4 linked regions of the Drosophila melanogaster genome follow. The protein of the gene in region 3 binds, or shares a complex with, the protein of the main gene of each other region. Each region holds a gene or a part of one and is shown on either strand. Other genes may lie near its edges.

The links.
Region 1: Nup107 (region 3) and Nup358 share a complex: the UniProt entries of both Drosophila melanogaster proteins name them as parts of the nuclear pore complex.
Region 2: Nup107 (region 3) and Nup98-96 share a complex: the UniProt entries of both Drosophila melanogaster proteins name them as parts of the nuclear pore complex.
Region 4: Nup107 (region 3) and Nup160 share a complex: the UniProt entries of both Drosophila melanogaster proteins name them as parts of the nuclear pore complex.

What each region holds. Positions count from the first base shown.
Region 1 is NT_033777.3:25,247,834-25,252,370, reverse strand, and holds the start of Nup358 (nucleoporin 358kD), read right to left. Parts: upstream 3,024-4,537; 5' UTR 2,741-3,023; coding exon 2,669-2,740; intron 2,149-2,668; coding exon 1-2,148. Other genes in the region: Nup37 (nucleoporin 37kD), read right to left, coding at 3,323-3,732, 3,790-4,198, 4,265-4,408. UniProt on the Drosophila melanogaster protein: E3 SUMO-protein ligase. Component of the nuclear pore complex (NPC), a complex required for trafficking across the nuclear envelope.
Region 2 is NT_033777.3:23,775,608-23,783,361, reverse strand, and holds the start of Nup98-96 (nucleoporin 98-96kD), read left to right. Parts: upstream 1-1,740; 5' UTR 1,741-2,197; coding exon 2,198-2,477; intron 2,478-2,537; coding exon 2,538-5,075; intron 5,076-5,154; coding exon 5,155-5,673; intron 5,674-5,741; coding exon 5,742-5,924; coding exon of another isoform or gene 5,925-5,944; exon of another isoform or gene 5,945-6,146; intron 6,147-6,254; coding exon 6,255-6,430; intron 6,431-6,486; coding exon 6,487-6,769; intron 6,770-6,828; coding exon 6,829-7,754. Other genes in the region: mbc (myoblast city), read right to left, coding at 974-1,022. UniProt on the Drosophila melanogaster protein: Part of the nuclear pore complex (NPC). Required for MAD import as part of the Nup107-160 complex and required for nuclear export of Moe probably via its association with Rae1. Plays a role in nuclear mRNA export.
Region 3 is NT_033779.5:10,732,793-10,738,104, reverse strand, and holds Nup107 (nucleoporin 107kD), read left to right. Parts: upstream 1-2,033; 5' UTR 2,034-2,159; coding exon 2,160-4,332; intron 4,333-4,396; coding exon 4,397-4,761; 3' UTR 4,762-4,812; downstream 4,813-5,312. Other genes in the region: CG12299 (uncharacterized protein), read right to left, coding at 1-217; Vha16-5 (vacuolar H[+] ATPase 16kD subunit 5), read left to right, coding at 1,148-1,729; Dpy-30L1 (Dpy-30-like 1), read right to left, coding at 4,883-5,287. UniProt on the Drosophila melanogaster protein: Plays a role in nuclear pore complex (NPC) assembly and maintenance. Required for nuclear import of Mad. Mediates the association between the nuclear pore complex and a subset of active chromatin regions adjacent to lamin-associated domains.
Region 4 is NT_033779.5:11,121,940-11,129,810, forward strand, and holds Nup160 (nucleoporin 160kD), read left to right. Parts: upstream 1-1,837; 5' UTR 1,838-1,939; coding exon 1,940-2,036; intron 2,037-2,100; coding exon 2,101-2,203; intron 2,204-2,256; coding exon 2,257-2,748; intron 2,749-2,805; coding exon 2,806-2,987; intron 2,988-3,060; coding exon 3,061-3,470; intron 3,471-3,543; coding exon 3,544-4,210; intron 4,211-4,275; coding exon 4,276-4,381; intron 4,382-4,449; coding exon 4,450-4,611; intron 4,612-4,666; coding exon 4,667-4,909; intron 4,910-4,964; coding exon 4,965-5,083; intron 5,084-5,138; coding exon 5,139-5,753; intron 5,754-5,818; coding exon 5,819-6,340; intron 6,341-6,396; coding exon 6,397-6,794; intron 6,795-6,867; coding exon 6,868-6,987; 3' UTR 6,988-7,051; downstream 7,052-7,871. Other genes in the region: Csl4, read right to left, coding at 863-1,318, 1,373-1,531; RfC38 (replication factor C 38kD subunit), read right to left, coding at 7,052-7,871. UniProt on the Drosophila melanogaster protein: Functions as a component of the nuclear pore complex (NPC). Involved in poly(A)+ RNA transport. Required for nuclear import of Mad. May play a role in double strand break DNA repair. Essential for nephrocyte development.

The sequences.
Region 1 (4,537 bases), on a different chromosome or scaffold from region 3:
GGCCATGGGCAGATGAAGTCCCCGGACCTCGTCCAAAAACTGCTCATACTGTCCAATCCTAAACATTTTCTCGCTAAAATAGGTGACGGCTTCCTCAGCCAACGACTGAAGATCTTGCCATGCTGCCGTTGAGCCGGCGGATCCGTACTTAAAGACGCGGACATAGGATTCCATCTGCTGGTTGTGTTGGTGGCGTAAAATTGAAAATCCTTGCCTGTACAGGGTATCGATACGCGCTTCTAGAGAAGAACGATCCGATCGGGAATTTAAAATCTTTCCCAATTGAAAAATGATGATGGCATCTGCTTTTGGGCCATTAACGCCGCGCACCGCTTCCAATCCATGTTGTAGTTGAGCTCGTTGCTCGGCGCGATTGCCTTCAGTGATAAGCTGGTTCGAGTTAAGTCGCACCACCAGATCCCACCAGTTACTTTGCTCCGGTGCGCCTAGTTGACCCACTAGATTGGCAAATGGCATCATATGTGGCCGGGCGGCAGCATTGCGGTTTCCCAAATTGGAGGAGTCATACACCTCACGCTGGATTTGCAATTTACGTCTGGTCTGAATGGTTGTGGCATAAAGGTAGAGGTCCACATCTACCTGGCTGATTGAATCTTGCCCACAGTAGTTTAGATTCTGCTTAACATCCCGTTGGAAACCCTCATAAAAGACCACGCGTGGCGCATCTCCAAGTTTGTTCGGGTCGGTGCCCAGAGCCAGGTAGACATGTTGGGCTAAGGAGTGTGGCGGCAGCACCAACGCTTGCAGTTCGTAGTTCTCGATATGCGCCAGATTCGGCCACTCAAAAAGAGGCAGCTGCAGACGCAGGTTCCGCACCAGATGCGAAGACGTATCCTTTAGCTTGTGTTCGGCGTGGGTAAAGAGCTGTTGGTAAATTTGACTTCGCCAGCTCTTGTCCAAGCATTGCTGGTGAGCGCTGGCCAACAGCTCTTCGGAGTCGGCAAATAATCCCGGCATAGAATTTCCCGAATTCTTATTCTCATCAAACTCGGCATTTTCTCTATCGTTTTTAATTTCCATTTGTGACCGGTCCAAGCAGCCCAAAAGGGTTCGTCCAAGCTGGGCACATCGAAAGGCGCCCTGAGGGCGCCACATCTGTATCAACTGCTTCTGTTCCGCGTCGCAGTGTTTTATCCATTGGTTGGTACTCGAATCATCGATCGGTCGCACCTGGTAACCAAGGAGCAGAAGTGGCAAAGCGGAGCGAAGCGTGCTCATCCATTTGTTTTTGTTTGCCAGAACCTCACGTTTGAAAATCAGTGTCACCGCGTGAAGCAGAAGCTGGCCGGTAAAGTGGTCAATACAAGCCTGGTGGAGATCCCGCTGCGGAGCGTCCCCTGACCTCTCTATCGAAGTGCTAAACTTGAATAGATATTGATCAAGTCTGAACAACTGCTTGCTGCTGTCTGCCAGTCCACTGCCCTCCAGGCTTAGCTGCACGAGACGATCGAGAGTGTGCAAGGCGAAGTGCCAAAATCGCCAGTTCTTCTTTACATCCTTGGCCATTTCTATCTTGAAAAGGACCATCCAGATCTGCTCGTACCATTCGTTCGACTGGCTCGTGCAGTTTTTCGACTCCAGTTCCGTTTTTAGAGCATAGTTGAAGGCCTGGTCTATTTTCATTTTTTCAACATAGCTGCGCAGCAGTTGTATGCGTATATTAACATCCTGGGGACGCGCCTGCAGCTCCTTGTACATAAGAATCTCGAGGGTATTTTGCTCGCCGTCTCCGCCACTGGTGTCATCTCTTTCGCCGTTACTGTCCGCAAGATTTACACGCATTCGCAGGTTGAAGACTTGCTTGTTGCCGCTTAAATCAAGGCTATTAGCCTGATCCAACCAGTACCTGGCGCACTCCGTGATCGATGCGTTGTTCTCCTTCACCAGAAGTTCGCAGGCGTCAATGACAACCTCTGACTGACGCGGATCAATTTGAATAGAACGTTGGTAGTGCTGCAGGGCCTCTGTCACATCGGGCGGGTTCAGCCTACTGTAGCAAGTGGCAATCATGTTATGGCCTACAGCGTCGTCCCTCACCCGGAGATAGCCGTTCAAATACTCGATGGCTTTTGGGTATTCCTGAACTTTCATGTACAATCGAGCTACAGCCAAGCCTTTGATATCGCGCTACAATATACATTTTATTGATTAGTACGTTAGGTTCAAAAAAGTCTGTTAAATTTTTAGACAATCACTGTGAGCTGGATAAGAATAACTTTGTAAGATTTGACTTATTGTGTGCTTATTATTTAGATAGAGCTACGTTAGACCGCAAAAAATCATTCAAATCCACAATGGAAATTCGAATTATTTTTGGCGGTCTTACAAATTCAGCGCTCACTCTAGCAGATTGATATGGTACACATAACCTCAAATATCTAATTTGATTTATACAGAGAAGGCGAAAGCCATGCAGCTGCGAAAAAAGCGTTCTATTTGTCAAGTATATGAAATGCAGCCGTTGAAAGAAAAGCGCGCAATTTCTTATTCAATCTCAAAAACGACGGCCAAGTGACGCCGACTCACACACACAAACACAAGCAGACGCCGCACGCACACAACGGTGTGCTTTCAATGGCGGCGCCTGAAGATTTCGCAATGATTTTCTTTTTGGAAATTCCGATGCACACTTTGGCCGTTTATTTACCTCTCTTCCCGGCTGAAGTTTTCCCAACATTTTGTGGACGTGTGCGTCCACTTCTTTTCGCGTTGTAAACATATCTGTACTTTTTTAAACACGTCCAATTTGCAGTGGACGAGACCTTGCAAAAATGTGCTTCGCGTTAGATTCTTCTTCACTCGTCATCCGATTGAAGCAGATTCCTCGAACGGTTAATTGCCCCGGCCGGAAAATCACGTAGATTCGGATGGGCAATTCCAGTCGCAACAAACTGCACTCGTTTGCGGTGTAGATTGGAACGTAAATATCACTAAATTCCAATTAAAACTTAAGCTGAACAGCACGGAAACCAAAAAATTTGTGCAAACTTAGTGCTGGAACAAAAAACGATGACTACGCGTTTTCATCGATGGGCGCGAATATATCGCGTCACCGATGTTTTAATGACTATAGCAACTATCGATTGCTACGATTTTTTTTCGAACAAACAAATAAGTATAAGGGATTTAATAAATAAATTAAAGAAGGTTCAAGAATAATATAAAACTTATGATAGTTTAACGAAATTATGAAATATAAATATAGAAATAGAGTGTAGATCATTGATATTCTTCTGATAAATCTTTTTTATATCATATTTTTTATATTCTTTTATTTATTATTCATACAATTTTATATAAATTACTTCATTTGCACTTTCCAGAAGAGCAGTTTCCTATCGGAAACCGCACTAATGTACGGCAATCGCTGGTGCCAGGCCATTCCCCCATAGGATTTCAGGGAGGCCTCCAGCAGAGGAACGGTCGACTTGGCCGCGAACACTTTGAGAGTCAGCCCGATGACCATGGCGATAACCATCTCGGAGCTGCCTGGCGCGAAGCGCACCACCCGGCCGCAATCCTCGTGGACCTGCTTGACATCCGCGGGCACATAGGGTCGGTTCAGGTCCCAGGTAACCACATCTCCGCCGGCCAGCGAGGTGATGAAGAGCCGGTTGCTGTGGGCCCAGTCCGCCGACATCAGGGGGAATTTGGGCGACTCCACGGAGATGACTGTCTGCTTGAGCGTCACATTGTATAGATGAATGATGCCTGCAAGGAGTTTCCTTAGTTACACCGCGGGCTAAACACTGGTAATAGCAAGCACACCCTTCTTTTCCGCCACAAGAACCTTGTTGGGATCCTCGGGGTGACTCTTGACGGACATTCCAGCGGAGGACAGGCCAAAGGTTATGACATTCTCCCCGCCGCCTGTCGTCGTCCAGAATCTGCAGGTGAAGTCATCGCTAACGGAGGCCAGCAGTTCGCCGTCGCAAACCCAGGATACATCGTTGACGTAGTCCCCATGCCCACGGAGCACCTGGAGCGAGGTGAACTGGCCCAGATCGGTGCGGTATAGTTTAAGCTGGCTGCCGTTGGCCGCGCACAAAGTCACATTGTTGGGCGTGCAGTTGAGCGAGGTGTCCGGCGAGAAGGCCAGTGCGCTCACGCTCCGCTGCTCCTTTTCGCCCAGGTCCATGTCCTGCAGGCGTGTGTACCCGAACTCGCCGCTCTCCTCCTGCGGATTAAGGGTTAACCATTCAAAATCATTCAACCTTCACTGGTCTTATGCATGGAAACCCACCGGCAGTCCAACGAGCAGCAGACTCAAGTGTTTCCTGAAGGCCACTGCGATTAGGTTGTAGGCAAAGTCATTGGTGCATATATCGTAGCAGTAGATGGCTTCATTAAGCTGGATGCTGTGGTCGGGCTCGATGACAGATCGCATCTTTCTATAAATATTGTTTGTTATTCGCGGGATATATGCAACAATTAGCCGGCGCCAAAAAAATGTTTATTTTAGTATGACCAAAAATCAGTGGAAGAATTTTCCAAGATTTTACACTTTTAAAAAACA
Region 2 (7,754 bases), on a different chromosome or scaffold from region 3:
CACGCCCCAATGGTACTATCAGATACTCGTACTCGCAGCGATTTCGACAGCTAGTAAACGCGCAAACACAAAAAAGGGCAGAGGCAGAGGCAAACGTGTGTAAATAACAAGTGCAAACACACCGGCAAGCTCCATTCGAGTGTTAACGAACGAGATTCCCAGTTCCACTCGATCTACCTGGGACTAGAGGTACCTGTACTTTATGTACCTGTCGTATCTATTGATCAGCGGTGAAAAGGTCAACAAAACGAGATCCATAAAAAATTCACACGCATTCGAAGCGGGTCGCGATTAGATATTTCATGGTCACTGCCATTGAATTGGGATTTGTCTCACAGTGTACACAGAAAATAAACATTTCTACTGTCAGCTTGATGCAGCTTGCCTTGGGTTTACAAAGACCAGGTTTCAAATCCCACACCCGTAAATACGTAAAAGTTGTAGTACTAATGTTGTAGTACTTCAGATTTAAGTTTATGTAAAATTACATTAATTGTATAAAATTTCTTTATGTGTACCAGGCCTTTTTTCTGGCAGTGTGTTGCAGTTGCACGTGAGAGACAGAGACAGTATGAAAAGCGAGAGAGACAATAGAAAACAGGTTTTAGTTTCAAGAGCAAATCTCAGAATTTTATGCTAGTGTTGACTGAGCAGGATGAAATGAAATGAAAAACGAAACAACACAGTGAGAGCGGGAAAGGGAGGATCAACAGCAGCCGAGTGAGCGTGTGCAAGCGAGAAGGTGCAACAAGTTTTACCGTAGCAACGCAGCAGGAGGCACACACATGCGGTGAAATAAGAGAGAGAGTTAGAGAGAGAGGTGGGGGTGGAGATGAGGTGTGCTCTGGAAAAGAGCGCCCAACAGTTCATAAAGTTTTCCTTTATTGTTGTTTACAAAGCACTTTGTTTAAACATTCCTGCCTAGCCATATTCTACCTAATTTATCGGCTTAATAGCCGCATTGCCAACTTACCAATGCCGAATTCTGCCTGCTTGGCATTGCAGTCGCTCCACACACTCATCTTGAAGGCTTTTCTTCTCGTTGTTGTTGCTTCTACTAGTGTTGTTGCTGATATTGTTGTTTTTGCGCCGACTTTTACCACCAACACGGCGACAAACGATCGCTACTCACACATGCAAAGCGATGGACTTTCGTTTGCGAAAATAAAAACAACAAGACATTAAATTAGGCAACGGCAAAAGAGCAACACGTAGTTGAAATTTTGATTTCGTTTTCACAATGCCGCCAACACAAGCATTTCGCCTCCGATTTCGCTACAGATTTCGACGAAAAGCACACCGGTTGGACAATTGCAACCAATAAATAATTATTGCACAAAAGCTAGCATTCCGCACAAATTGTCGCTCCGCAAATGCATTTTGCGCCGTTTTTCGCTCGTTTTGTTCTCGACTTGTATTTGGGCTGGGAGTTGGCCGCTGCCGCTCAGCTAATTATCACATGTACACGCACTCGATCGCACACACACTCGTGTGTGACAGTTGCCAATTAATTAAATAACCGCTCTCGGAAAACAACCCGCGCGTTTCAACTGTTTGTTGTGAATGAGCGTGCTCGATGCCCAGAAGTACCGTACTGTTCCCAATCGAAAATATCAAATATAGAGTGCCCCTTACAGCGTGTTCACACCGTTGATGTCAAATGGGTTTTCACTTTGTTCGCAGTACGGTCACATAAAAATGTGAAAATCGAGCTTACCTACAAAATACGAGAAACCCAAGTTATAAAATACATTTTCCACACATTCATAGTAAATTTGCTTCGGAGGCACCAAGCAAAAATTTTATTAAGACCATAAATAAGTTATGGTCAATAGTTATGCGCCTGGCAGTTGTATCCTGCTTTTTTACAGTGTATTTTTGCATGCGATTTCACGCCTTGGTCACACTTTTGGCTGCATTTTCTTCAACATCGTGAAAAAATCGGCGCGCCATTTCTGTCCACTTTTTGCGTCAGACTCGGTCGACTCCTGCTGACTTGACAAATTCGCGAGTGTTTATTTGTTTTAAGCTAAGCCTGTCCGGTCCCACAACCTTCGCATCCGGCGCAGCCGCCCCAGCTTGCCCAACGTGGTGAAATCGAAGCATTGCTCATCGCGATAGTTGGCATTCCGGCGAAGGACAAAGCAGGGGATCTACCTAGTATATGTTTGTTATCTGAGCAGCAGCAGCGAGCAAAATGTTTGGCGGCGCGAAACCCAGCTTCGGAGCCACTCCGGCGGCCACCAGCTTTGGCGGATTCAGCGGCACCACAACAACCACTCCGTTTGGCCAGTCGGCATTTGGCAAACCCGCCGCACCGGCCTTTGGAAACACCTCCACCTTTGCCGCCCAACCCGCGCAGCAGTCACTGTTCGGTGCGGCAGCCACACCAGCTCAGCCCGCCGGAGGCTTATTCGGGGCAAACACGTCCACGGGATTTGGAAGCACTGCCACAGCTCAGCCCACGGCTTTTGGAGGTTAGACACGATCATTTGAAGTGGTATCATGTTACTAATTTAGTAATTTCTTCTTTGCAGCCTTCTCGCAGCCGCAACAGACCTCGAACATATTTGGATCCACCCAGACGGCGGCAAGCACCTCCCTCTTTGGACAATCGACGCTACCCGCCTTTGGAGCCGCCAAGCCGACTATGACGGCCTTTGGGCAAACAGCTGCTGCTCAGCCCACGGGCTCTTTGTTTGGCCAACCGGCTGCCGCCACCAGTACAACAGGATTCGGAGGCTTTGGGACGTCGGCGCCTACAACCACCAATGTTTTTGGCAGTGGCACCGCCTCCGCCTTTGCCCAACCTCAGGCTACGGCCGTGGGAGCTTCCGGAGTCAATACGGGCACGGCCGTGGCCAAGTACCAGCCAACCATTGGTACAGATACCCTGATGAAGAGCGGTCAGGCAAATAGTGTGAACACTAAGCAGCACTGCATCACGGCTATGAAGGAGTTCGAGGGCAAATCTCTGGAGGAGCTCCGCCTGGAAGACTATATGTGCGGGCGCAAGGGTCCACAGGCTGGGAATGCTCCGGGAGCTTTTGGATTTGGAGCTCAGGTTACTCAGCCCGCTCAGCCTGCAAGTGGTGGCCTGTTTGGAAGCACTGCCCAACCAAGCACAGGTCTGTTTGGCCAAACTGTGACCGAGAATAAGAGCATGTTTGGCACCACCGCTTTTGGCCAACAACCGGCGACTAACAATGCATTCGGAGCAGCAACCCAGCAAAACAACTTTCTGCAAAAGCCCTTTGGAGCCACCACCACCACTCCGTTTGCCGCTCCCGCAGCTGACGCTTCAAATCCATTTGGGGCGAAGCCTGCTTTTGGACAGGGAGGAAGCCTCTTTGGTCAGGCACCTGCTACCAGTGCGGCTCCTGCTTTCGGACAGACTAACACAGGATTCGGAGGCTTTGGAACCACAGCCGGAGCAACGCAACAGTCAACTCTTTTTGGTGCCACACCAGCCGCCGATCCAAATAAATCAGCCTTTGGGTTGGGAACGGCTGCATCAGCAGCCACGACAGGTTTTGGATTTGGAGCTCCAGCAACAAGCACCGCCGGCGGAGGCCTTTTCGGAAACAAGCCCGCCACTAGCTTTGCTGCTCCAACTTTCGGCGCAACCTCCACGGCTAGCACTCCGTTTTCAAATTTTGGCCTGAACACCAGTACAGCAGCAACGGGAGGAGGCCTTTTTAACTCGGGATTGAACAAGCCAGCAACGTCCGGATTCGGAGGTTTTGGAGCCACCAGCGCAGCACCACTTAATTTCAACGCAGGCAACACGGGCGGATCACTTTTCGGAAATACAGCCAAGCCGGGAGGAGGTCTTTTTGGAGGAGGTACTACAACCTTGGGTGGCACGGGTGCTGCCCCAACGGGAGGACTGTTTGGAGGAGGAACTACCAGTTTCGGAGGTGTCGGTGGTTCCTTGGGCGGAGGAGGCTTCGGTATGGGTACAAACAACTCGTTAACTGGTGGTATTATGGGAGCTCAGCCCACACTGGGTATCATGACGCCTTCACACCAGCCCATTCATCAGCAGATCCTAGCTAGGGTAACTTCTCCCTACGGAGACTCTCCGATTTTCAAGGATCTAAAGCTAAGCAGTGAAGCAGATGCAACAAGAGCTACAAATCCTGCTGCCCAACAAGCAGTTCTGGACCTGACCAGCAACCAGTACAAGATAAGTACCAGCAACAATCCTGCTCCAATGAAGGTAAAGGCGCTGGGCAGCACACTTAATAGAAAATCGCTGTTTGATGGTCTCGAGGAGTTTGATGCTTCTGTAGAGGGCTTCAATCTGAAGCCCAGTGCTAAACGATTAGTTATCAAACCCAAAGTAAAAAGTGTAGAGGGTGGAAATCCCTCTAGCTCTATTGGCAGTGCTCCCAACACGCCCCAATCTCGACCCAAAGGCGCAACTCCCAACAAAGAACGCGAGTCGTTTAGCGGAGCCATTCCAAGTGAGCCGCTACCACCAGCTGGAAACTCGCCTGGAGCAACGAATGGACGGGAAAGTCAGGATAACGGCCGCCGTGAGTCATGGCTGCATCCTAACAACCTTGAGAAGGTACGCCAGCACAACATTCAGACTGGAATGGATCAGGGATCGCCCCATAACAGCACCCTCAACGAGCTTGTGCCACGTAAACCTTTAGATACATACCGACCATCCTCCACCGTTCGCCTCTCGGTGTCAACCATCCCAGAGAATCCATTTGAGGATCAATCCAGCACCATTGCACGTCGCGAAACCTTCACTTCGCAGCAGGCCAATGAGAGTGTGCTTTCGAACAGATCTAATGAGGCAGAGGACTCTGCAGCAAACCAATCCCGCCTAGCCATTGAGGCAGCTGCTGCAGAGGCAGCAGACGACGAATCACATCCAACAGGCATTGTGCTGCGACGCGTGGGTTACTATACAATTCCATCGCTAGACGACCTACGCTCCTATCTGGCCGAGGACGGATCCTGTGTGGTTCCGAACTTTACGGTGGGTCGGGAAGGATACGGCAATGTCTTCTTCGGCAAGGAAATGGATGTGGCTGGCCTGAACCTCGATGAGATTGGTAAGAGTCTTGTGTTTTTTTATAACCGTTTGTGTTTGCTCTCATACATTTATTTAATGCAAAACAATTTGTATCACAGTCCACTTTCGCAACAAGGAGATTATCATTTATCCCGACGACGAAAACAAGCCGCCCATTGGTCAAGGTCTAAACCGTGACGCCCAGGTCACTTTGGACCAAGTATGGCCGTTGGACAAGACCAAGCACGAAGCCATCAAGGACCCACAACGCTTGCTTGAGATGGACTGGGAGGGCAAGTTGCGCCGGGTGTGCGATAAAAACGATACGCGCTTTATAGAATACCGCCCGGAAACGGGTAGTTGGGTCTTCCGCGTCAAGCACTTTTCTAAATATGGCCTGGGAGACAGCGACGAAGAGGACGAGTTGCCCACTGACCCGAAAAAAGCCAAAATTGCAACGCTTGAGGCTCAGCAGCGGGCAAACGCAGAAAAGATGACGCTCAATTCGCTGCGCCAAGCGCAGAAGATTTCAGAAGATGCAGCCCGTAACTTGGACCCAAAAGCCTTGGTCGCAGGTGTTGCCAGCGGATTCAGGCCAATGGATGATACCGCCGAGTTCCTTTTAATGGACAAAACACGTACGTCTAAAGTCCATTTTAAAAGGTTTAGTTTCATTAATTGTAATTTACTTAATTTTAATTCGCAGAATTTTTCCAAGCTGGTGGCAACTCCGATTTCTCCATGTTTGATCCACCGCGTCAACGTCCAACGATTACCAGTCCCACAGCTGTTTTGGCTCAGGAAATGGTAGGCAACGAGGCGCACAAAATGCAGCTAATGAAGTCATCCTTCTTTGTGGAGGACAATGCTCCCGAGGACGAACCCATGGGTAGGTGGATAATCTCTTGATGGTCTTTCAAATTGCTTACAGTAAAAGATATGTAGATGTTTAAATGTTAATCGTTAGTTTTGAGCAAATATGTATTGTTAATTATCAACGATATTTAATGATTTTTGATCGTTGCAAAAAGTATTATATATATATATTTATGTTTAAAAAGGTAGCACAAATTATAAAGTTAATAAAGCTTTCAAATGTGTTAGTAAATCCAATTCATTTTGCCTGCTTTGGCAACAATTCATTATAATTACAACAATTCACTGCTTATCATCCCACACGGCCACTATACATTTGAAAATTACTCATAAATTTCTACAGAGACTACGGGGCGTCTTCTTCGTCATCGCAAGTTTTTCAACGTGGAACCTCTTGTTTGGAAAGATGGTGCCTCCGAGAGTTCCAGTCAGTACGATTTTGAACACCCATCGCCCGCTCTGCCGATTTCTTCCTCCGTCTCTGAGGCCAGCCTGATGTGTGATGCACATTATGAGGAGGTATATCGACGTAACCTTTTACTTTGAAGCCCAATAAACATCCTGATCAATTTCAGACATCGTCGATGGCAACTGGAAGCATTGTTGCAGCTGTAAAAGAAACGAAGTTTGAAATGCCTGTCACTAAAGCCTTCAAGTTTGTCTGTAAGCCCAAAGTGGCTCCGATTAAGTTGCGTGCCACCACGGTTCCCCTACCCAGGTCCATCGCTTATGAGATGCGCGATAATTGGATCGCCGATTTGGGATTCTACAAAGGACGCAGCTTTAAGCTCAGTTTTGGTCCACAAAACTCATTGGTACTGCCAAGCACCTATAATAACATGCAAAACCTAAAAGAATGTAAGAATATCTGAAACAAGCTGTAGCAGTCCAATTATAATAATTTCCCTTTGCTTCAGTTACTGGACCATCCCTGCCCGTCTCCATGGTATTTGCGCCGCGCTCGGCCACCGATTTGTCGCCCAGTGTAATGCAGTTGGTGGAGTTTAACATGGTCAAAGGCAACGAGGGTTTTCGAGAAAGTATCATTCCCCATCTCGAAGTTCAGCTTAACGACTGCCTCTCAGTTAATGTGGAGGGTAGTGAGTGCCCGTGTATACATCCCGATAGCGGTACGAAACTAGTTTCCAAGCACTTCTCCGAGTCTCTTAAGCAGAGAAATGCTGGCTTAAAAGAGGACTATAGCGTGTCAGTGTGGTCGCTTTTATTCGCACTATGGGGCGATCACGATGAACTGGTGGACCTGGAAAAGAACTCTCATTACATGGTCATGTGTCGGCGCAATCTGCTATCCGAGTGGCTTGAGAACACGCTGCTGGGCAAAGATCTACTCTCGAAAAAAGTTAGCACCCACAGCTACCTGGAGCACATGTTGGATTTACTTAGCTGCCATCGCGTAAATGAGGCTTGTGAGCTGGCCTTCAGCTACGATGATGCTAATCTGGCTCTTGTGCTGTCCCAATTAAGTTCCGGAGCTGTCTTCCGGCTATTAATGGAGGAGCAGCTCTTTGCCTGGCAGCAGAGCAAGTCGGATAAGTATATCGATCTGGAGCGCCTTAAGATGTACATGCTGGCCGCCGGAGCGCCAATGATGCAGTCTTCACATGGGGCCATCAACTTACTCGAGAATAAAAACTGGCTGACAGCACTGGCCCTGCAGCTATGGTATTTCACAGCCCCAACATCGTCTATCACCGATGCACTCAATGCTTATAACGACGCCTTCCAAGCGGAAGAGTGCTATGCGGAGCCCCCAAAGCCCAGCTACAGGGACGCACCTACTGACACCAAGAAGCCCGTCTACGATTTGCGCTACCACTTGCTC
Region 3 (5,312 bases):
GGGGGTGCAGGGTGTTCATGTGCTGGTACAGCGCCAGCGGATGGACGAAGAACTCCGCACAGCACATGCAGTGGAAGGTGAGATCCGGCGGCTGTGGCTGCTGCGGTTGCTGCTGGGGTGGATTGGGTGCCTGTTGCGGCAGGAGGTGCGTCTGCTGCAGGATTGGCGTGATCGTCAGGGGCAGGTGGTGGTAGCTCTGTTTCAGCTGCACGGCCATCTTGCCAAAAGGCTGTGCAAATCAAACAACAAAAATCACAAGGAACACAAGCGACGAGCGTGTGAACATTTTCTCTATAATAAAAATGCGCGTTTGCGGGGAGAAAAATCAATGCCGTACCTTGGGTGAGATTAGATGCGAAGTGCCGTGGATCAGGGGTTCCGTAGACTACTATTATATCACTGGTGTGTGCTGTTGCTCAGGTTCCGTGCTTTTGTGTTTCTCTCAGGGCTCTCGTCCACATTCGTCCACTGCGTTCCATTTTATGCGCCGCCAGCGAAATGCGAATAACTTGCTTCCTGTTTTCGGTGCTCGCTTGTTTTTGAATTTGGCTGCTCGGTTCCGTGGGTCGCCGGAATCGCGTACCGTCCTCCGACCCGTTGTCTGGTTAGCTGCGACTGCCAGGAGCTGCGACTCGAGCGAATGCAGCGCATCGCCCAATCGCAATTCTGCAGAGCCAAAATCGCAATTGCAAGCGTCTTCGCCGTGCGTACAACAAATAAAAGAAAAATGTTTTATGTTGGGCGGCCCTTGCACGATTGGACGGCAGCATATCGTCATGCAAGCGTTTCGTGCACGTCGCCAGCATGATGACCGATAAACCGCGCAGCTTCAAATTCAAACCGCAATCGATTGTTACATCTTTCGAAGGTTTTAAACATTTAATAATATTTAATTTAATTTCGAGTGCCTAAATCTAAGCAAGTTTTATTATTAGTGTTTAATTTCACTTAACAAGTTGCTAAAATTATTGAATTGAGCCCTAACATCTTAAATAATATTAATATTAAATATAAACTGCTCATCTCGTTCCCCTTGGATTTTCTTTCTTGCCAAACTACAGGCTAGTCAGACTAACAAGTTGGAAAATCCAGAAAGCAAGCAACGTGGATCGTTCCTTTTCAAGTAAATACGAAAAAGGCTACCAAAATGGAAATGGATTACTATCTGCCAGTGTATAACGGATCAAATTCGGTGGACGTGCCGGGGCTGATTGAAAGTCTCAAGCTGAAGGAAACCAGTATATCGCCAATCGTGCTGGATCGCTATCCGCCGTACTCCCCGTTCTATGGCGTGATGGGCGTCGTATTCTCCAGTGTGCTGACCTCCGCTGGAGCGGCCTACGGAACTGCTGTTTCCGGAACTGGAATCGCCGCCACAGCGGTGATGCGTCCCGAGCTGGTGATGAAGTCCATCATTCCGGTGGTCATGGCGGGCATCATTGCCATATACGGTCTGGTGGTATCCGTGCTCCTATCTGGGGAACTAGCGCCTGCTCCCAAATACTCGCTGCCCACCGGCTATGTACACCTGGCCGCTGGACTTTCGGTGGGATTTGCTGGACTGGCTGCCGGATATGCAGTGGGTGAAGTCGGCGAAGTGGGCGTGCGGCACATTGCCCTGCAGCCACGCCTCTTTATCGGCATGATCCTGATCCTTATTTTCGCCGAGGTGCTCGGTCTCTACGGCCTGATCATTGGGATTTATTTGTACACGGTCAACATTAAGTAGCAGAATTTGTTATATCTAAAATATTTAATTCGTTAAGAAACGTTTTTATCGATCTTTAATATTTGAAATGCCTTTTGAATTTCTTTACGCGATTGTGGTACTCATTTCAGGTACGCCGTTGCGGTACGCGATGGAGGTACCCCATACTAATGATTCTACGGAATGCTGGTACCTTATTCTTTAGCAGCTTTGCCGAATTACTAGATATGTAAACAATTTAAATCAATTTGTTTCTTACGAAATTTGCTTGAATTCAGTGAGAATCGCTTATTTACAAGTGTATGTGCAAGGGAGCTTTCTTGCTGTTCCGTCATCTGGTAACACTGAACGCTCCCGGCATTTTTAGCGAATAGCGCGTGAATTTCTGTTTTGATTAAATTAATTGAATTGATGTGCCGTAGCTGATAGCCAAGAAACGCATAGTGCAGCCATGGCCGACAGCCCGTTCCCGAGGAGCAGCCGCAGTGGCCTGCTACGCACGACGCTGAACAGCTCGATGCCGCCGCAAAATCTCTCCCACTCGCTGCTCATCCTCGAGAAGAGCAACGCGGAGCAGAATGAGCTCTCGCTGATGGAGGACACCGGCGATGATCTGGATCGGGGCAAGAGCCGCATGGACGTGCTCTTCCCGCAGTTCTTCGACGTGCTGCAGGCTCAGGGTAACGGGCAGGAGGCATTCGAGGTGATCCAATCGCTGACGCAAGTCTGTCGCGGCGTGGTGGAGCAGCTGGAGCTGGAGATCGATCACGGCATGGGTGGGGAACAGGGCGCGCGGCAACGCGAGTCTATGCTCACCTGGCTGCGACAGGAGATAAACACGTGGCGCCTGCTGCACGCCCTCTTCTACGACCGCATCCTGCTGCAGACGGACAGGCAGGCGGATGATGAGATGCAAGATGGCCCCACGCTCGGCGGCAGCGAGAAGGAGGTCATACAGCAGTTGTACGCCCTCAATGCGACGCTGCGTGAGTACCAGCTGGTGGTGGACTGGCTGGAGGCGTGCTACGACCGGGGGGAGCAACAAAACCCACTCCACGCCCACGATCGTATGATGGCGTGGGAGAACACGCTCTTCCAACTGGAGAACCTGCAGGGCGCCGCCTTTGGCAAGGGCCATAAGATCGTAACGCGTCTGGATCCAGATGCTCCCGTACGCGAGAAACGACCGTTGCACGCCCTCGACGAGGAGGACAACCTGCGCCTGTCCCGCGCCATTTTCGAATTGATACGAGCGGGACGCGTCGACGATGGCCTCAAGTTGTGCAAGCACTTCGGACAGACGTGGCGGGCGGCGATCCTTGAGGGCTGGCGTCTCCACGAGGATCCCAACTTCGAGCAGAATGTCTCGGTGCTGCACGAAAAGCTGCCCATCGAGGGCAATCCCAGGAGGGATATCTGGAAGCGCTGCGCGTGGATGCTGGCCGATTCCAAGAACTATGACGAGTACAGCCGCGCGACGGCGGGTGTCTTCTCCGGCCACTTGGGCTCGCTGAAAACCCTTTTGCACAGCAACTGGCACGATTTGCTCTGGGCCCATCTGAAGGTGCAGATCGACATCCGTGTGGAATCGGAGATACGCGGCTGCTGCCTCAAAAACTACCAACCGATGCCCGATGATTACTGGAACGGCAGGATGACGATGGAGCAGATCTTCGAGGAACTGAACGTTGCCAAGGATGCGTCGGTGCGGGATTTCGCCCAAAGTCAACTGGGCATTATCCAGCGTCATTTAATCCTGGATACTTGCGGCGAGCTGATCCAACACATGGTGCGCTGGGTGGAGAAGGATACCTCCCAACAATCGCCCCATCAATTGCGCTTTATGGCCCACATAGTGCTCTTCCTGCGTCAAATCGGCCGTGTGGAGCAGGAGCGACAGGCGGAGAAGATCGTAGCCGCATATGTGGAGGCATTGATTGCCAGGGGCGAACCGCAGCTAATAGCCTACTATACTGCATCGCTTTCGAATCCGCTGCAGGTTCAGCTCTACTCGCGGTTTCTGGAGCAAGTGGAGCAGAAGCGTCCGCGGGAGCTAGCTGTGGATGCCGCCCTGCAGGCGGGCTTGGATGTGGAACAGATCACACGCGTCACCGTGCAGAATATTCGCCTCGCACATCAGCCACTCGGGGAATTCGGTGAGCCGCAGTCCGGCGAGATCTCTGCAATCGATCAGCGCAAGATCTCAGCATTGGAGTGGCTAATCCATTTGCCGGAGCAGCGCGGTGAGTTGCTGTGGCAGGCCAACGCCATGATACGCACCTATCTGGCCAGCAGCAAGGTGGAGTGCATGCGCCAGACCTTCCGCATGGTGCCGGCCGACATAGTGCAGCAACTAGTCAGCTTGTACGGCTCGGTGGACAACATACCACCGCGTGAGGAGTGCTGCCTGAAGGAGTATCTCTGCTACAAGGCGTATCTGTCTGGCGTCGACAGTTTCGTCGAATGGAACCGCCTGCAGCAGAACAGGCCCAAGAAGCCACAGACTTCACACGCAGCTTCCTCGCAGGACAACTTCACGGAGCGCATGGCGAGTGAGCGCAAGGAGCAGGCTCACCGATCGGAAGTCGTGCGCTGGGAGCACAAGGTTAAGGAGCAGGCCAAGCGTAAGTGGATCGCATACCCATTAATGAGATCTTTTGGCATATAACCCGCATTCTTTCCCTGCAGAAACCATCGAACTCCTGTACAATGTGCTCATGTTCCCGGACAAGGGTTGGCTGGTGGATCCGTTCATCGCCAAGCTGCCCGAGAACGCCGTGCAGCTGAGCTGGGATCATCGCCTACTGCAGATGGAGAAATTGCGCTCCATCTGCATTCCTGAGATCGCCCTGTTTCTGAACGAAGTGATGTTCAAGTCGGGAGACTTTGCGGGTTGCGTGCGCCTGGCAGATGAAATATCCAGCGAGAATCGGCAGTTGTACAAAGTCTATACGAAGCACAAGCTGGCAGAGCTTCTGGCCAAGATCGCGGACGCCTCCCTGGAGCTGCTCAACTCGAAACTGGATCCATGGGGCTATCCTATAACAACTTAGCAATCCTAGTACATTTGTGTGTTTTGCGATTACATTCTAACTTTAAACGTTTATTATTTATTCACTGTTCAATTATACAACTAAGGAGGGGGACAAATGGGAGGTAGGTAGGATGGAGGGCTTAGGAGTTGTTGTCCACGGCGGCGGCGGAGGCGTTGTTCTCGTCGCACCCGTTGCTATGCTTTAGTAGGTAGGAGGCCAGGAACTGTATGGGATCCGTGGGCCGTTCGCGAGCCAGGGCCTGCATTCCGTGGAGCAGAACCGGCGCCACCGTCTGGTCGAGGTACTGTCGCGTGGGCATGTTGTTTGTCTCGCTACTGGGCTTCTTGGCCACCGCCGGCTGCTGTTGCTGCTGCGCCACTGGATTTGTGGACTGGCCAACGGCAATGGCTCCGGATGGAGGAGCTCCCGGCGCAGCGGTCGGGTTTGCTTGCGCATTGCTGCTTGCATTTGGCTCCTTGCCAGCTTCTGCCGGCGGATTTGTTGTGGGCGCTGGTGAGATGGGTGCGTCGGTCTTGGCCTCCATGGCAATGTGTTCCTTTTGTTCAGCA
Region 4 (7,871 bases), 390 kb from region 3:
GGCAAGACAAGACACGGTGGCCTAGTCCCGGAGCAGCTCATTGCTCCAGGCTGCCTGCTCCCGCTCCTCTGATTGAATTAGTCGCGGCTCCTGCACGCGAAACGAACTTCCATTTGCTATTTGCATAGGAATAGTCATCCATCAACAACAGCTCCCAGCGACATTGATTGGCAACGGGCTACGGGTTTTTACGCCTCTGACGCCTGAGCCTTTACAACCATCTATTTGCCTTTATGATTATATATTTTTTTTTTTGGGAACACGTGCAATTGCATGTTATTGAAATTCGGATTACTTGGAATAAGTACCTGTCGTTTACCCTAAAAGTTTTTATGTTGCCAACCTATAAAGTGCATGTGCCTGCATATATTTAGATTACCTTGTGTTTATGAATTATTTTAAACATAAAATATGTTTTGTTAAGTTGCTAGAACAAATTACCGCACAATTTCTTTAATCTATTCCCATGACTTTCGAATCTATAGAGATACTTTTAAAAACAGCAATTGCATGACGATCCAATATTAAATTCTAATCTCTTGTTGAATCATTATAACAAACCAATCATGAATAAATAACAAATATAAGATACGTATCAATCATAAAAGCTAAACTATGGAAACCAGCTTGTTTTGAACTTTTACAACTTAATTATAGATTTATTTAATGATTTGAAATAATGTAAACTGTCAAATAGCTACTTATCAACGTTGCTATGGAAATAAAATGCTAACATAAACCTGTATCCATATTCAGCGTCCTCTGGTTGCCAAGACATATAATTATTTGGCTAATAATCACTTACTAAAACATTTTTAGTTCCACAAATGAATTTAAGCTTCTGATTAACATGCGATTGACCTTATTTCACAGCATTTATTGAACTCTCAGGCAGAACTTTAGCCACTTTCCGTGGCTCCTTGATCGTGGTCTGGGGGCACTGCATCTCGCTCCAGCCGACCGGCACCATGGGCACCCGGGTCTTCCGGTAATCACTGGCATAGGCGATGACCACGCCGAGTTCATTTTCGGCGGTGGTCAGGAGGAAGGACTGCTCCAGTTGGTTAATGACCCTCGCCAGGATGACATCGCCCGGCCGGAAGGACTTGTAGATATCGACGCGATCTTTTTCGGTCTCCCGGACATCCTCCTTGCGCAGAAGTCCGCGGTAGCTGCTTTCCAGCAGCACATTTCGTACGCAGAAAATGGCGCACTTGGCGAATTTTGGAGTTGTGACGAGAACTCTGGCTGTGACCACGTCTCCGGTGGCTGGGATGGTTAGATGAAATCCGGGCTTATGCACACTAACCACCTGGCACTGAAATGGAGATTAATTGGTTCCCAGAGTCAACGAAATGCCAGGATTACTTACTTTATCACCCGAATCTTCGATGTTGACAATTCCAGACTTGGAGGCGTAAATGTAGCCATTCTGCTCGTAGGTGCCTATGCCCAGGACTATGCTGTCCTCGGTTCTGCAGAGTCGCTCCCCGGGCAGGCAGACTACAGTCTCATCCTGCTGTTCACTCATTTTTAGGCCAGAGACAGTTTTTATTTTAAAAAATAAACTAAATAATAAAGCCGCATCAACAAATGGAAACACACGTGCAATGCAGTGTGACCAATATGTGGCAATTGTTAAAATGCTAGCGACAACTTTCTTAATATCACAAGATTTAAAGGCATCTTATATCATTCCTGCTTTGCTATAATAAACTTTATTGTCATGAAATTACATTTAGGAAAATGTACAATTTTTAACTAACTTCTGTAATTAACTTTTGTATGTGAGTATAAAAAGCTATGTCGACTATTTTGCCTGGTGTGCACCGCTGGCGTAAGCGTTTTCCAACACTACTACTGAGCGTGTTTACGCCGGTGCCGCCAATAATTTTCCGTTTTCGTTGAGGTTTTTATATTAATTTGTTGTGCTAGCAAGATGCCCACATCCAAACTGCAAGCCAACATGAGCTACCGCGAGGTCATACCGCGGAACCTCAGTCCGGCGGAGTGGATCGAGGTGAAAATTAACACGGGTGAGTTTCGTGCAAGATTGCCAGAGAAATTCTGAGTAACCAAATGCTCCTCCGCAAAATGTAGGAACCCAGAGCACTTTGCAGGATTTAAAAACCTTCGAAACCTCCGGCGGCTATTGCTACAAGAATACGAAAAATGTTCAGACCAGAAACCGTTTCATATATTGGTAAGTGCAAATCAGAATCGTTAAATTAGTTTCACATGGCCACTGATTTGCAGGCGGACATACCAGGATGTCCTGGAACTATCAGAGGTTAGTTTGGACATCTCCCTGCAGAGGAATCACCTGCGTCTGCGATTCACCGACTCCGCTGTGCTGAATGTATCACTCACGGAGCAAGGTACATCCGTCACCCTGCTGGTGGTCACGGTCAGCAGTGTGCATCGCTATGTGTTTCCCTTGAAGGTCGCTGGGCAGGAAGGTGGCGCAGCTTCTCCAGAGGATCTGCTATCCCAGTCCATTTTCTACGACGTCAATGACAAGATCAATGATCCCAGCACTTACTATGTCACGGATGGCTTTGGAACTATGCCCAACGCGGCTGTATCGTACCTCACTCAAGACTCCCAGTCAGCCTACTTTGCGGTGGCGTATCAGAGCAAACTACTGCTTCACGTTATGAAATGCTCCACCGGCCATACTATCACCCACGAAATCAAGGAGCCGAAGCTAATGCCATGGTTTCTGTCGAATCTCAAGGGTGCCCTCACGTAAGTGGATAAACCTCGATAAATGGCAAATCCCTAATGTTTCATTAATCATTGTAGCGGCCGCTCTGAAACGTTGGAGGCAGCCACGTCCATGGCTTTCAGTGAAATCGGGGGGGAAATTTTCATTCTGGTTCTGTATCGCAATAATGAGCTGCGTCTATGGTCAGTGGATAACTTGCAGACTGTAGCCAGCATTAACTGCTCCACCGAACTGGGACAGGACTCAGCAGCTCAAGGACGTGAGTATAAAATATTATTACGATTTAGATTTATGATCTAGATATAATGGGATTATATTCTTTTTTTTAACAGCACAAAACAGCCAGCTCCGAAAAATAAGCGATCAAAACTTCTGTCTATTTCTCTCGCACAATTCCCGAGCTGAGTTTATATGCGTTAGCATAATGCCCGATGCCGACGATGCCAGCGTTATCAATTTGGTGCAGAACATGGTGCCGGCGCCGCAAACGGATTTGGTCGACTTCGATGCCACATCCTCGCACATCTGGGCCCTTTGGAGCAACGCTGAAGGCGATTTCCATGTCTCGGCAGCATATTTTGCCTCCAACAACGCAATCAAATGGGTTTCGGCTGCTCTAGAACCGCCACCGGATCGGTATTGTCTCACCATGGAGCAGGGAGTGGATCCACGCGAAACTTACTGCAGCTATATATTTCATCCTGGTCGATTTGACCGAAATGTAATTGCCAAGGCTTTATATGTGAGTATAACCAAAACATTCTTTATTATGAATTATTGGAATAGTTTAGTAATTTGAATTTTTTGTATCGTAGATGTTCAGACGCGTTAACCTGCAATTCGATGTAAAGCAACTTTCCATGTCAGTGCTCAAGGAGCAGGTATGCCAGGCCGTGGAAGATGAAATCCAAAACGAACTGAAAGACTTTGTGGTCACCGATGAGGAGTACTTGGAGATATCCACTCGGCTGTGGGATCGCTTTTACTCCTGCTGCGAACAGTATCACATTAAGCTTTCCGAGCCGACAGGACTCGCCGTTCTTGGTGGAATGGATGCAGTATGTTTGGTTAGAAGGCAATCATTCGCATTGCTGCGCCCCTGCGAAGTGCTCGAGCACCTGTTGCTCATCGGCGAGCATAACGATGAAGTGGCGACATATGTGGCGCCACTATTTCGCAACGATCCCGAAATGGCCAAGGGTTTTGTGGAGCTCATGAATGTGGTGACACTGCTTGATAAACTAATTTCGGAGGACATTAAAATCGAGCTAGATAAACAGCTTTACCAGCGGGAGTCACCGGTTGAAGTAATATCTAAGCTGGTGGCTAGAATCAGTATGATCGATGATAATGGTCCAATATTGCCATCAAACTGTGTGAGGCAAATCCAACAGAAGCTGCAGAATATACCAAATCTTGAACCCGCTTTGGAAATGCTGCTCGATGTGCTGTGTATGATTGATCCAGATGAACCGCCGCATGGTAAATTACTTATAAATATATATAATGTTTGAAAATGATTCATATATTTCATTTCTACTTTATAGATTACTCCCTTTCTACGCGCTTCTTGCAGTCGTCTGGGGCTCTAATGGGTAGCGAATATGGACTTTCTATTTTGTCCGAAACAGTGAAGCAAATGGCAATGATACGGTGAGCTTTCGTAATAGTTTAAAAAACTTTGAACTTGGTTTATCATTTATTAAATCATGTGTCCCTAGGTTTTCTGTTTGCCGAAACCTTTTGGTATTGCAGTACATGGCTTATGGTCAGAACGAAATGGAAAGCGAAAATGTTTTAACAAATTTAAATTATTTGAACTCATATTATACACTGGTTTGGATTGCCGAGACACCCATTTCATCGAGTACCCCAGCTGGATTGTAAGGATATATAATTGATTGTATTGCACAGTTCTAACTTCTATTTTAATTTTAGCGAGGCATCTATTCAACGATTGAGCCGCGCCCAACTTTTCAGCGGCTATAATCGACCATACTCCAGCCATCTGAAACATAATGGGAACGATCAGACCACTCTGCTCCGACTGTTCCTGGAATCGAAAGGTCTGTTCAGCGCCTTGACTATGCTGCTGAAGCATGACAGTTTGTCGCTGGACTCGGAGCAATTGAATCTACGCCAGTCTTTGCTCCAACTTGTTGGATACATCAATAAGATGCTGTGCGTATAATATATAGAAAAATTGATCATGTTTTAAGTTTCAAACATCTCTTAGTTGGCCGGGATCTCCGATTTACGTATTTCCGGAATGGTTATTTGGGACCTGTCATCACATCATTGTTCAGGATTACGTGCGCATTTTGTCAAACTGGTGTTCCGTACAAAAACATGCCAGTATGCATTATTTGCTAGTTTTCCCAGCTTTGAAATTAATCCTTTTTTTCCGCAGGACGCTTTATGCTAGCCGTATCTCTATTGGATTGCGGTGAGGCCCACAAGGCCGTGCATCTCTTTCACGAGGCGGAGTCTGGCATTGTGGAGGATGACTTCCTCTTTGAGCATGTACTGAAAAATACCCCTCTATACGGCAAATTACAGAATAGCGTCAGCCGTGGCGATACAATTTCCCCCGAAGACACAAAACTGGCAATTGTTCACTACTATCTTAAGGTTATCCAGCTCTTTGAACAGCATTCCGCATTGGACTACATTATTCAACTGGCTGACATGGCCATTAGGGTGCTGCAGCCAGATGATCCTCAGTTGCCCATGTTCCAGTCAATAGTGTTCAATAATCATCTGCAGTTGGGACACTACGTGGAGGCGTACACCGCCTTAGTCAACAATGCAGATATTTCAAGGCGTAAGGATTGCCTTCGCCAGTTGGTCATAACGCTGTTCCAGAATAAATGTCTGCCACTGCTTATGCAGTTCTCCTACATCGGGTTGCAAGACGAGTTCGAGAGCATTGTTGAATCCCGGGCACGATCAATGAGCATCGATCAGAACGAAGTCTACAACTTTTTGTATGCATTCCATACGAACAAGGGTAACATGAGAAAAGGTTTGCATAAAAATTACTTTATTTTCTTCCATTTCTTCTTGCATTAATAATTTGTTTCCGAACAGCTTCTACGGTTATGTATGAGCAGGCCATGCGGTTTCAAGTAGACAGCGATGCACCAAACGCGCTAGAGAAACGTTGCTCCTCGCTGTTAATTTGCCTAAACTGTTTGCACCTAGTTGACAGCCGCTACAGATGGATTGCCAAGCCTGTTCTTGGTGATGAGCAGGTGATTACCATAGATCAGGATAACGACGATGGTGAGCCCAAATGTGACGAGGACAAGAGAGGCCAGGAGGTGGTTGTTCTAGAGCTGGCTGATATCCGAAGGGAACTGGTGCACGCAGAAGCTTTACGTGAGCTTTCCTTCTACCGCAAAGATACAGCTGCCTACGAGCGGGCCACACCCGAGGAGCTATCATACCTGCTGGCTAGTTCCGGCCTGTACACCGCGGCATTGAAACTTTCGCGGGGACACTCGTTCTCTGTGCTCCCCATATTCGAGAGTCTGACATCCGCTTGTGTTGCTGCCACTGAGGACAAGTCGTCGGACGCCTGGAACTGGCTGCAAAACAACGACATGGCAGGTAGGGATTTTTTAACGTGTATGAAAAAAAGAGGCTTACTATATGTCTTATAACAGATCTACCTCATCGAAGTAATGCTGCCGATATGGCCTGGACTTTACTTCAAAAACTGGTTGTGGATAACGAGGCAAAAGACTCCACCTTGATAAGAAAGAGCGTGGTTCAAAGGCTTCTCGGGTTAAACGCCTTCTTGCCCCAGTGGCTGATAAACTCCTACAAGTTATCCCACTCCCGGGAACTGCTCCACTTACTTGTGAAACACAATCGTCTGCTGGAAGCCGCAGATCTGGGATGTGAAATAATCGCCGGCATGCTGGGAGCAGGTAGCGAGTATTTCGAATTCAAACACGCGGTGAACATAGCAAACCCACAGCTCTGCTTCCCCATCAGCACGATCGATTTGCTGCTGCACGGTTTAAAGATTAATGGCAAGGATGATCTTGATTATGAAATGGTAAGTCATACATATAAATTTCGTTCTACTCAAAATACATTCCAATCATATTCCAAATCTATTCCTATTTTAGGCTTACTTTAAACTCGAAGAAGAAGTTCAAAGATATATTGAGACCATAAAGCGCACCACCGATGATAAGATGAGCATGGCCGTTCTGCAGATGCGAACGGATCTTCAGGAAGAACGTTAATAGTTCGTTTAAATCAGTTTATTTAATAAGTTTTTTGAATTAAATGCTAAAGCGTGTAAATCGTTTAAAAATCATCCGTCATGTCCAGCTCAGAAAGGAACTTTTTATAGATGTTCATAAACTGAGCGACGAACGCTTCAAGATGAAAAATGTGCTTGGCGCCGGACTGCATCCGGTGCTCGTACTCGGTGGCGAACTCGAGCGTCTTTGCCTTGATGGACATATCACAATTGTTAACCAGCTGTTCGACCAGGCCGCGGAATATGAGATTAGGTGGAACGCCTTGCGTGAGTAGCTCGTACAGGCGTTCGCGGATCTTCTCCAGTTTGGCAGGCGTTTGCTCACTGATAATCTGAGATGCTGTCTCACGCAGGAACACCTGCCAGTCCAGGTCGGGAATCTCCTGATTGGCGGTAAACGGCGCCTTGGCCACCTTGGCGGCCTCCAGCATCAAAAGTGCTCGCCTGAGATTGCGCTCCGACTTGTCCACAACCCGTTTGGCCAGCTCCACGGGCAGTGCGAGTCCCTCCCGCTTGCAAGTGTTCTGCAAGATGGACACGATCTCCGTTTCGTTGGGAGCCGCCACCCGTATGCCCAGGCAACGCGACCGTATGGCCGGAATGATCCGAGATGTGGAGTTCACCGATATGATTATCCGGCACGTGGCCACATATTTCTCCATCGTACGGCGCAGGGCGTGCTGGGCATCCTTGGTGAGTTCGTCGCCCTCCGAAATTACAATCACCTTGAATTCCCGTTGGCCACTAATCTCAATTTGATGCGTCTGGGCCACCTGCTTGATGAGATCGATCACCACCGTGCGGTCGTACATGCCAGCGTCGGAGGGATTCACCTCCAAGTGGTAGTTGCTGCTGACCGTCATC